Oryzias latipes: one gene and its partner. The protein of the gene in region 1 purifies or fractionates together with the protein of each later gene. This does not show direct contact. Links are inferred from orthologs where the notes say so. Each region holds a gene or a part of one and is shown in the gene's direction. Other genes may lie near its edges.

Evidence for each region.
Region 2: the proteins of psmd12 (region 1) and ubiquitin-protein ligase E3A purify together in Homo sapiens (affinity purification with mass spectrometry; 4 studies listed by BioGRID and IntAct, with this or other methods). This does not show direct contact. The link is inferred for Oryzias latipes from reciprocal best matches to the Homo sapiens genes PSMD12 and UBE3A.

Annotation. Positions count from the first base shown.
Region 1 is NC_019859.2:31,314,489-31,320,432, reverse strand, and holds part of psmd12 (26S proteasome non-ATPase regulatory subunit 12), read left to right. Parts: intron 1-3,254; coding exon 3,255-3,383; intron 3,384-4,545; coding exon 4,546-4,653; intron 4,654-4,815; coding exon 4,816-4,920; intron 4,921-5,114; coding exon 5,115-5,264; intron 5,265-5,385; coding exon 5,386-5,520; intron 5,521-5,944.
Region 2 is NC_019860.2:926,125-931,847, reverse strand, and holds the start of ubiquitin-protein ligase E3A, read left to right. Parts: upstream 1-1,471; 5' UTR 1,472-1,746; coding exon 1,747-1,823; intron 1,824-2,611; coding exon 2,612-2,656; intron 2,657-4,166; coding exon 4,167-4,471; intron 4,472-4,569; coding exon 4,570-5,723. Other genes in the region: RNA polymerase II degradation factor 1, read left to right, coding at 1-10. UniProt on the Homo sapiens protein: E3 ubiquitin-protein ligase which accepts ubiquitin from an E2 ubiquitin-conjugating enzyme in the form of a thioester and transfers it to its substrates.

The DNA of each region.
Region 1 (5,944 bases):
TCAGGCTATTATAGCCATCAACACTGAACAGAATGTGAAGTTAACTGACCCTTTAGAGATTAATCAAAGGTTTCATACATATTATACACAGTTATACACCTCAGAATCTAAAAAGGATCAAGTACTTTTTGACAAGTTTTTTAGCAAGCTTAATCTGCCTAGAGTAGATGAGGAAGTATCTCAAAATCTGGAGAGACCTTTTAAAACAGAAGATATTCAGAAGGCCATAAATTCTATGCAAAGTGGGAAATCACCAGGACCAGATGGCTTCCCAAGTGAATTTTTCAAAACCTTTGCAAAAGATTTGTCCCCTATATTACTCTCAGTCTATGATGACTCCTCCCTCTCAGGTTCTCTCCCAGAGACTATGAGACAGGCTGTTATCTCTTTGATACATAAAAAAGGTAAAAGTCACTTAGAGTGCAGTTCTTACCGGCCTATCTCGTTATTAAATGTAGATAGTAAAATCTTTGCTAAGATACTAGCACATCGCTTGGAAACTGTTTTGCCCTCTATCGTATCTGATGATCAAACAGGGTTTATCAAAGATCGTCATTCTTTTCATAATGTTCGAAGACTCTTAAATATTCTTCATCATCCCTCTCCACCAGATACATCTGAAATAGTTCTCTCGCTTGATGCTGAGAAAGCGTTCGACCGTGTGGAGTGGGACTACCTTTTTTATACACTTAAAAAATTTGGCTTTGGCCCAAGGTTTATCTCATGGATACGTATTCTCTACTCTTCCCCAGTCGCAGCAATTCGTACCAATAATAATCTTTCACCTTTTTTTAAGCTGGGACGTGGAACAAGGCAAGGATGTCCCTTATCACCTTTATTATTCGCTTTGGTCATTGAACCTCTAGCAATTACTCTTCGAGGTGATGATTCTATTAAAGGTATTCAGAGAGGGGATTCTGAACACAAAGTATCTCTGTACGCGGATGACACATTACTATATATATCTGATCCCCTATACAGCCTTCCTCATTTATTCACACTTTTGCGTGAGTTTGGAAAAATATCAGGTTATAAAATAAATATGCACAAAAGTGAACTGATGCCCATAAATCCTGTTGCACTAAAAGATGTGTCAAATTCCATACCATTTAAATTAAGCCAGCATAAATTCAAGTATCTAGGGATTTGGATCACAAGCAATTATAAACATATGTACAAAACAAACTTTATTCCATTGTTAGATAGTGTAAAACAAGATCTGCAACGCTGGCAATCCTTACCAATTTATTTAGGAGGCAGAATTAATGTTGTTAAAATGAACATCCTACCTAAGTTTCTATATCTTTTTCAGTCTATACCTTTATTTTTAACAAAAACATTCTTTTCTAACCTAGACAAACTGATTTCATCATTTATATGGAATGGGAAGACTGCCCGCATTCGCAAAAATATTTTACAATACCACAAAGATTATGGGGGAATGTCACTTCCCAATTTCCAATACTATTACTGGGCAGCAAATATCCGTACATTACTTTATTGGCTAGAGACATCAAGTCATAAGGATCTTAAATGGTTAAATTTTGAACGAATGTCATGTCAATCTGCCTCTTTACACTCTCTACTTTGTTCAACAATACCACTGTCACAATCCCTCGACAAAATTTCACAGAACCCAGTAGTTAAACATGCACTTAAAATCTGGGCACAATTTAGGAGAAGCCTGCACCTTAAAAATATGTCAATCTATGCCCCAGTTGTGAAAAATATTATGTTTCTCCCTTCCATAACTGATAACTCTTTTACATATTGGTCCACAAATGGTCTGAGAACCCTGAAGGATCTGTTCATCGAAGGTCAATTTGTTTCATTTCAGAGACTAAAAAATGAATTTAAAATTCCTGATGTTCACTTCTTCAGATACCTTCAACTTCGAAGTTTTCTATCTACCACATTCACCCATTTCCCTTCGCGACCACCAGACTCACTTCTTGAAAACATCTTGACCTTTAATCCACAGTCAAAAGGACTCATCAGCAAAATATACACTGCAATCAACTCATCAAACACAGATCCACTGACTCATACCAAAAGAAAGTGGGAAGAAGATTTGGCTACGGACCTATCAGAGGATGTATGGCAGACTGCTCTTCAGAATATTTATTCATCCTCTATATGCTTAAGACAAAGGGTTATACAATTCAAGGTGGTTCACAGACTGCATTGGTCCAAAGTAAAGTTAGCTAAAATCAAACCAGACCTTAATGCTAATTGTGATCGTTGTGATAGGGTACCAGGTACACTTTCGCATATGTTTTGGTTTTGTCCGACACTAAGGGCCTTCTGGCACAACATCTTTCAACTTCTCTCTGACGCATTGGGGACACACATGGCTCCTGAGGCCTCAATTGCAATTTTTGGTGTATCAGAGTTCTCTCTGCGGCTTCCAAGTAAATCCAAAAGTGTGATCGCTTTCACTACACTTCTGGCCAGGAGGCTAATCCTCCTACACTGGAAAAACAAACAACCCCCTACTTTTAGGAAATATCTTGTGGATCTTATGTGCCATCTTACCGTAGAAAAAATCAGATATTCAATGAAGGGTTGTACTGCAGGGTTTTTTAATGTCTGGCAGCCAGTTCTGAGCAAGATCAAAGATATTGATCCATCGCTTCTTTCTGAGGGGTAACACTGTTACTCCATTCAGCAAAATCTTTTTTTATTGTATTTAATTATTTTTCTTTAGGGTGCAACAGGGGGGGTTTGTTTGTTTGTTTGGGGTATTAAGGGAAAAAAAAAAAAAAAAAGTTTGAATGTCTTTTACACTGTATATGTTGCTGAATACTCAAATAAAAAGAAACTTGAAGAAAAAAAAAAAAAAAAAAAAAAAAAAGTTATAATAAATTAATAAATTAATTGTTTAACATTAAAAAAAAAAAAAAAAAAAAAAAAAAAAAGTAATATTGCAGTGAGGCTTAGCTGTGCGTTTAATAAGATTAAGAGTTTGAGTTTAATGTAAAGGAACAACTATTTTGTACAGATTGTTTATACAACACAATTTATGCACAAAGGACAAACAGTTTGCATTAAGGACTGCAGGAACTGACACATATAACATTTAATTCTGAAATGTTTTAGGCTTATTCACTTTGCGTGCAGTAAGATGGAAGGAAAATTATAAACCATTAAACGTCAATGAAACAAAGAATGTGCTGTGGTTTGGGTGTGTGGTTTAAAAAACAAACAAACTTTTTTTTTAATATAAATACTGTAAGTCTGTGTGGTTCTTGCAGGCGTCAGATATGATATCCACATCCAGGATCCTTGTTGCTGTGGTCCAGTTGTGTTATGAAGCAAAGGACTGGGATGCGCTAAATGAAAACATCATGCTGCTGTCCAAAAGGAGGAGTCAGCTCAAACAGGTCAGTGTCTGTGATGACTCAGAAATAAAAACACATTTTTTAATTTTTTTTACAAACATTTGTTACAACAGAGTTTTAGGGGCAGTTTACAGTTTTTATTTTTAAATTACGCTTTTAAGTCGTATATTTATAAGAAAAATACCGGTAGTCATAACTGTTAAATTACAAGAATAAAGTTGTTAGTTTACCAGAAAAATTTCATAAATTAACGAGGAAACACCCCAACGTTGTCTGTTTATCGGAGCCTCGCTTGAAGATGAAAGATGTGGAGCATTTTTGTGAAGCTTTATTTACGGATAGGTTTCAAATAACAAAGAAATTATGAGCCTTTTGGCGACTCAAAACCAAATTCTTGTTAGTGTAGCCAGCTTTCCGGGGTTCAGTGTCGGTAAAGCGGAGTTTTATATGTAAAATATGGAACTCAGAGACATGTTTGGGTGCAGAGGATCGCAACTTCATTCTCCCTTTTCATTCAAATACCCAGAAGTCCATTTGTCACCTTACGTCATGAATCTGTCATGTGTAGAAAAAACACCAAAGTGGAAGGAAACGGTGTTTCATACGCCCCCCCCCTGCAGATGAAAAGTCCTGTTTCATCATGAAACAATAAAGAGGAATGAAAATAGTCTGTTATATTAGCATTAGAACGTTGAAAATGCCAAAAAGTGCTGCTCCTCAGACGGAAGCGTCACACAGACGTAGAGATGTTGGGTTTGGTGGAGGAAGAAAGGATTGAAGTGGACATCTGCAGGGACACCGATGTCTTCATCAACAGACTGCAGAGATCCTGAAAGCCACCCGTAATTAAATAAAACATCAATAAATTGTCGATCAAACAAATGAGCTTCCAAACATTTGAAACTTTATCAATTAACATTCTGTTTAACTGTTAGACTAAGTTTAGTCGGTCTGCTCTGCTGCTGCACAACGTTCACTTGCTGCTCTGTACGCTCACTTTAGTCTCGTAGTTTACAGGGTTTTTTTCTTGTAAATATGCGACTTTAAATCTTGGAAATTTCCTTTTTTTTTTTTTTTTTTTGGTGGCCCTAAAACTCTGCGGTAAAATGTTGCCCAAATGGTTTATTTGGTTTGAGTTTTTCTGGTGGTGTTGTGCTTGTTACTGGAACCTCTGAGCATTATTCTGCTGTGCTCTTTCTCTCAGGCTGTTGCCAAAATGGTGCAGGAATGCTACAAATATGTGGACGCAATGAGTGACCTGACCATCAAGCTGAGGCTTATCGACACACTGCGCACCGTCACTGCTGGCAAGGTTTGGCTTCCGTCCTTTCATTGGGCGGTCTCAGGGACGCAGCAGTAGTTCCCTCACACGTTGTGTGTAGAAAGAAAAGAGTGATGGAGCTAAGGGTCACCATCTTGCTGTATAGAGAGACACGAATACTTCATTAACTGCGTCTTTTTGTGAACCCTGCAGATCTATGTGGAGATTGAGCGTGCCAGACTAACAAAGACTCTGGCAAACATCAAGGAGCAGAATGGGGATGTCAAAGAGGCTGCTGCTATTCTTCAGGAGCTGCAGGTGAGAAGCTGAGATAACTTATTACCTCTCTGTTTGAACAAAAGTGTTACGAAATAGCTATGTGGCGCAAATATGGCTTATTTATTATACTGGTGCGAAATAGACTTAACAGGGGTTGTTTTTTTTTAAATGAAACTTGTCTTAAGATGTGTGTTTCTGTGTAGAAATCCTTCTTCTTTTGCTTCCCTGGTCAGGTTGAAACGTACGGCTCCATGGAAAAAAAGGAGAAAGCCGAATTCATCCTGGAACAGATGAGGCTCTGCATTGCTGTCAAGGATTACGTTCGCACCCAGATCATCAGCAAGAAGATAAACACCAAATTCTTTCAAGATGAGGGCACTGAGGTGAGAAGCTGAAATATCTGACATTGTTCTGTTGTGTTTCAATGGTTTGCTTTCAAAAAGCCTCTCTAATGAACAAAGATAAAAACCAAACCCTTCCATTATTTCCCTTCTGATCTCTCAGGAGCTGAAGCTGAAGTACTACAACCTGATGATTCAAGTGGATCAGCATGAAGACTCCTACCTGTCCATATGCAAACACTACAGGGCTATTTATGACACCCCCTGCATCCTGGAGAAGAGCAGCGAATGGCAACAGGTGGATGTGTTTTCCTAACGCTTTCAAGTCAGGATGCAGTTCATTCACTTTTAAGTTCCTAATGTATTGATTTTTCTTATTCAATATCAGTGTCATTGAGGGATCAGTAATGGTAAAACACAGCCAATCATACACTCCCTGGCCATTTTACTAGGAACACCTGTCCAACTGCTTCTCAATGCTAACTTCTAACCAGCCAATCACATGGCAGCAAGTCAAAGCATTTAGGCATGTAGACATGGTCAAGACGGTCTGCTGCAGTTCAAAACGAGCATCAGAATGAGGCAGAAAGGTGATTGCAGTGACTCTGAACGTGGCATGGTTGTTGGTGTCAGACGGGTTGGTCTGAGGATTTCAGAAACTGCTGATCTACTGGGATTTTCACCCACAACCATCTCTAGAGTTTACAGAGTATGGTCAGGAA
Region 2 (5,723 bases), on another chromosome or scaffold:
GAGATGTTGAGGAACCGTGGCGGTCCAGATCTTCTGTAACGTGTAACTTCTGATTTGAAATAAAGCTTTATTTGACTGTCAATCAATCTGTGGGTTCTGTGTGTATGTGTCTGTGTTGTATGTTTAATAGTGTGTCTGTTGGGGGTGTGGGGGTGTATTTGTGTGTGTGCTGGTATGTGTTTTTGTTGGTGTTTGTCTGGTAGTGTGTGTATTGGTGTATGTGTGTCTGCTGGGGTGTTGTGGTTGTGTTTATGTGTGTATTGGTGTTATGGTTGGTTTAAGTGTATTATAGTGTGTGTGTGTGTACTTAACTGATTGTTTTTTTCTTCCAAGTAGCGCATAGTTTGTTGTTGTTTGTCAAATCTTCAAGGTTAAACAACGACAGCAGTCGGTGACAAAATAGGAGCTTTTTTTGGAAAATTTCTGATTAAAAAAAAACACGCTTTATGAAACCGATGTTTGCCAACGGACAATTAATAACTATTGTCAAATATATTTGAACAAGCCAGAGGGTTTCTCTTCTCACAGTTTGCATGGATGGTGAATAAACGTGGAAAAAATGAGAAAAGTTGTGGTCTTTACGTGAAATTTTCATAAATGTATCACGAATGAACCAGGTTAAAACCGCGGAAGAAGTACGAATAAACCAACAAAGAACTCGTAAACCAACAAAGAACATGAACCAAACATGATTATTGTCTGTTAATATACAATTCATTAGTAATTTGTGCGTCAACTACGTATTTGAACGTGATATGTGTGCTGTATTCACGTAAAGACTCATCGGTTGAAACCTTCAGTGGACATCTGCAAATGTTGATGAATGACAAAAATGATCACGCTTAAATCACGAAAGACCAAACTTTTATACGTGGAAAATGCGCAAAATGCCCGTAGTGGCTGTGTGACTCTGCTTTTATACAGAACCAAAACGCCTCCATCACTGGCTGACAGTTCTGGCTGCAGCCTGTAGAGGGCGCCTGAAAGCAGACTTCTGTGGTTCTGGTCTTTGAGGTTTTGGCTTCCAGATCTAGGGTCTCAGACTTTGACAACTGTTTATATCTATATCTATATCTATATCTATATCTATATCTATCTATATATCTATATCTATATCTATATATATATATATATATATATATATATATATATATATATATATATATATATATATATATATATATATATATATATATATAGATATAGATATATATAGATATAGATATAGATATATATAGATATATATATATTTTTTTTTAATTAAATTTTTTTTAAATGAATTTATATTAATGTTCAAAAAGGCTCAATTTAAGACCTTAACACGATGAGGATTTGGAAGAATTGAATTAAATTAATTTTAAGAAAAATAAACAGATTACATTAAATTGGTTAGAAATACATAATTAATTTGGATTCATTTCATTTTAATGAGATGAACTCTTCATTTCTTGCTGTCCTGTTCGAGTCCCGTTCCCGCTCAGTAACGATCCAGGCCGGCACGCGCTCAGGCAGCGGCGCGGAGCATTGTGGGACGCTGGCTGACGGCAGAGTCAACATGGCTGCAGCTCTCCGGAGGAGGATCGAACCTGCAGGAAGAAGGCCGTGAATCGAGCTCGGTTGTGGACCCGCTTGGACCGCCTCCGCGTTGCTCTGAAACCTCCGTGCTGTTGAGGGCGCTCACCGACCGCAGAGGACCGAGCGAAGCCACCCGCAGCCGCAGAGGAACCGCCGGGGAGAAAGCCTCGTATGAATCCCGACGAGAAGGAGGACTGTGAGTGTGCGGCACCACAGGCCCAGACCAGCCCGGCGAGCGGAGCTGACAGGTGGGCACGCGGGCAGGAAAGAGTCGGGGATTGCCGGGCATGTCGGGAGCTTAGCTAGCTCCCCGCTGTTAGCCGCGCGGGAGCTCCGCGTTTTCGCTGAATCTGTTTAGACAACACTTCGAGCAGCTTTGAATTTATTTTAATTCAATCACGAAACGTTTAATACGACGTTTTTAAAGTAGGAAGCGCGTGAAATGAAACTAAAAAACGGCCGGCGGGCCTGCTAATGTTTGCTACAGCATTAGCCTGCTCAGTCACGCCAGGCAGAAACCTGCAGTCTGCGACGTTTTCCGCTGAAAGTCCCTCCAAGACTGGATTGGTTCCAGCCTCAAACAGGGACCCGGTCTTTGTGCGGGGGGTTCTCCACCTGCTGCACCCTGACTCCGTGGAGCTAACAACACGCTTCCTGCTGCTGTTTGCAGCCCGCAGACTGCGTCCTCTAAAGGGGAACATCTCTACCAACGCACGGGCTGTTGTCATGTCACACTGGGAGGCTTGCTGTGGTCCTCCTGTCAGTCTGGGAGCAGGTCTGCAGAGCCAGAACCACATCCCATCATCTCCATCTGGATCCCCCCCGCAGAAACATCAGGCTGGAACTTTTGTCCAAGCCTCCAGGAATGTGGGAAAGACCCTCATGGCTCCACCTGCACATCCTTCAGTGCCTGGCTTCTTGTTAACGAAGCCACAAATCGGTGGACGTTTTTAGGGTTTTTGTCAGTGGGGTGCATGTAAACGCCGCGGTCCAAACCCGTTTCATATGTGTGATCTGTTCTTTCTTGTTCCTTCAGAGAACACGAGGAGCCTGACGTAGAAAACCCAGAAGCAAGCCGAATGTAAGTCCCCAACGAGCGCCCAGAGCCGTCTGGATGTCCGTTCTGTGTCCGTCTGTTCCTGTGGTTCCCCACGTCTGTGTGCGTTCATCAAAGGGCTGTTTGCTTTCACGACTAACACTTCGGATTTATTACGTTTTTACTAGAAAGAATTGAGCCGTTGCTTTTTGAAGACGCTGATAGCGTCAGGAATTCTGTATTGTACCCGAGATGTGCTAGGGGCCGCTCTGTTATGCGTCCTGCTGTGGACGCTGAAACGTTCTCTGAAGTTCAGACGCCGTTTTTGAGGCATTTTGGGCGTCCGGGGTTCAGGGGCGGGCGATCGCTCAGAACATCTTTGGACGACATCTTTGGACGTCTTTGATTCCATGTTGGGCCTCAAAAGCTGCAGTAGAACCAGAAACTGCTGTAGTTTTCCCACTTATCGATGTTTCTAACAGGAGCTTTTACTTTCGATACTGAAAATTTCCTCTAGTGCTGATTATTGTGTTCTTTAAACAGAAATCTGCTTGTCTGATATTTCTTACTTCTGCATTTCCTGTCCTAGAATAACCAACAGTTATGTCAAACTTAGAATGCTGTTCTGGTTCCGTTTAGAGGAGCTTAAACATAAACCAGGTTCTGTCCCTTCGTGGTCCTATAGAAGTGTAGTACGATTGGGTGTAAATGAATCGGTCAGGGGTCACCAGAACCGTTACTGAACGCCCAACGTTTTGGTAGAAAGATCTGTTGTTATAAAAACTGTCCAAAAATGGAACCAACAACTCTCCAATCAGCTTTCTTTAGCTTAAGAACGCAGGAGTTTTGAACACGGAAGCCCAAAATGCCCATAGACTTCTTGGAAGTGGTCGGTAGGAGTGTTTCAGAGCCTGGAGTGAACGTAAACAGATTTATTTTTAATGTGTACAAATGAGGCAGAAAAACTATCGGTTTTGGTGTCCAGGCGAAGCATCCGGTTTATAATAAGAACATGTGCTGAGGTACACGCGTGCACGAAGCGTGTCTCGATCCACCGACATTTGTGTGGAGCGTTTCATAACGTCTGGACCAGGACGTGGTCAAACGTCTTCAGCGTGTTGGAGGTCCCTCGCGGTCTTGATGCTTTGCTGATTTTTGTTTTTGTTTTCAGCGTGCTTCTAAAATATTTATGAGTTCAGTGCATTGTGTTCTGCTTCCTGATTGGCTGTTGACCTCGTCAATAAATCTGGCCTGTGCTGTGTCTCCTGAACAGAATGTGTTCAGATCTACTTAACCTCTGGAGACCCTGTGTCCTCACACAATGACATGGTTTTTGTACTTCCTGTACTAACGATAACGGTTATTGGGTCCTACTTATCTCACATAGCATTGTGTCCATTATTCATTCACTAGGAGCTCGCCGCTCCATGGCCTGAAGACGCGGCCGATGTCTCCTTTGATAGAAGACGAGCGCCACGGCAGAATGTGAATGTATCTGCTGTCAATCAAAGTATTGTTCACATCCGAAATCTCTGATTTTTTCCTCTGAACGCAGGAAGCGAGCAGCCGCCAAACATCTAATAGAGCGCTATTACCACCAGTTAACGGAAGGCTGTGGGAATGAGTGCTGCTCCAACCCCTGGTGTGCCTCCTCGGTGGGATTCACGCGCATGGACAACAACGCGGCGGCGGTCAAGGCGCTGGAGCTCTACAAGGTCAACGCCAAGCTCTGTGACCCGCACCCTTCCAAGAAAGGCACCGCCTCCACCTACCTGGAGAGCAGCACGCACAGCAACTCTGCCTCCAGCGACCAGCAGGTGAACCACAAGGAGGCGCACACGCTACGGGAAAATTTTAAAGGTGAGCTTGAGCCCAAAGTTCCGGTTTCGTGTTCCGACCGGTGAAGTCTTGTCGGGAAGGCTGTTCTACCGGTTTCACCCGCTCTGTTTTTCGCGTAGATGTATCTTACCTGACGGAGGAGAAGGTGTACGAGATCTTGGGCATGTGCGGGGAGAAGGAGGATTACTCCCCGCTGATCCGAGTAATCGGCCGGGTCTTCTCCAGCGCCGAGGGGCTGGTGCAGAGCTTCCGGCGGTCCAAACCCCACACCAAGGAGGAGCTGAAGTCCCTCCAGGGCAAGGACGAGGACAAGGACGAGGACGAGAAGGAGGCAGCGGCGTGCTCCGCTACGGCCATGGAGGAGGACTCCCCGTCCTCGTCGACGCGGCCGGGCGAGGGTTCCTCGGGAGACAACGACGTCCAGAAGCTGGCGCCGGACGAGGTCTCGGTGGACATTGAAGCCGTGCGGCGCGTCTACGAGCGCCTCCTGTCCAACGAGAAGATAGAGGCCGCCTTCCTGAACGCACTGGTTTACCTCTCCCCCAACGTGGAGTGCGACCTGACGTACCACAACGTGTACTCACGGGACCCGAACTATCTGAATCTGTTTGTTATAGTGATGGAGAACAGCAACCTCCACAGTCCAGAGTACCTGGAGATCGCGCTGCCTCAGTTCTGTAAGGCCATGAGCAAACTGCCACTGGCCGCTCAGGCCAAGCTGGCCCGCCTCTGGTCGCACTACAGCGCCGAGCAGATCCGCCGCATGATGGAGACCTTCCAGCAGCTCATCACCTACAAGGTGATCAGCAACGAGTTCAACAGCCGGAACCTGGTGAACGACGACGACGCGGTTGTGGCGTCCACCAAGTGCTTGAAGATAGTTTACTATGCAAACGTGCTGGGAGGCGACCTGGACGTGGAGCACAACGAGGACGAGGACGACGAGCCCATCCCGGAGTCCAGCGAGCTCACGCTGCAGGAGCTGCTGGGCGAGGAGCGCCGCAACAAGAAGGGTCCCCGGGTGGACCCTCTGGAGACGGAGCTGGGGGTCCGCACCAACGACTGCCGGCGGCCGCTCATCCCCTTCGAGGAGTTCATCAACGAGCCGCTGAACGAAGTCCTGGAGATGGACAAGGACTACACCTTTTTCAAGGTGGAGACAGAGAACAAGTTCTCCTTCATGACCTGCCCGTTCATCCTGAACGCCGTCACCAAGAACCTGGGCCTGTACTACGACAACCGCATCCGCATGTACAGCGAGCGGCGGATCACC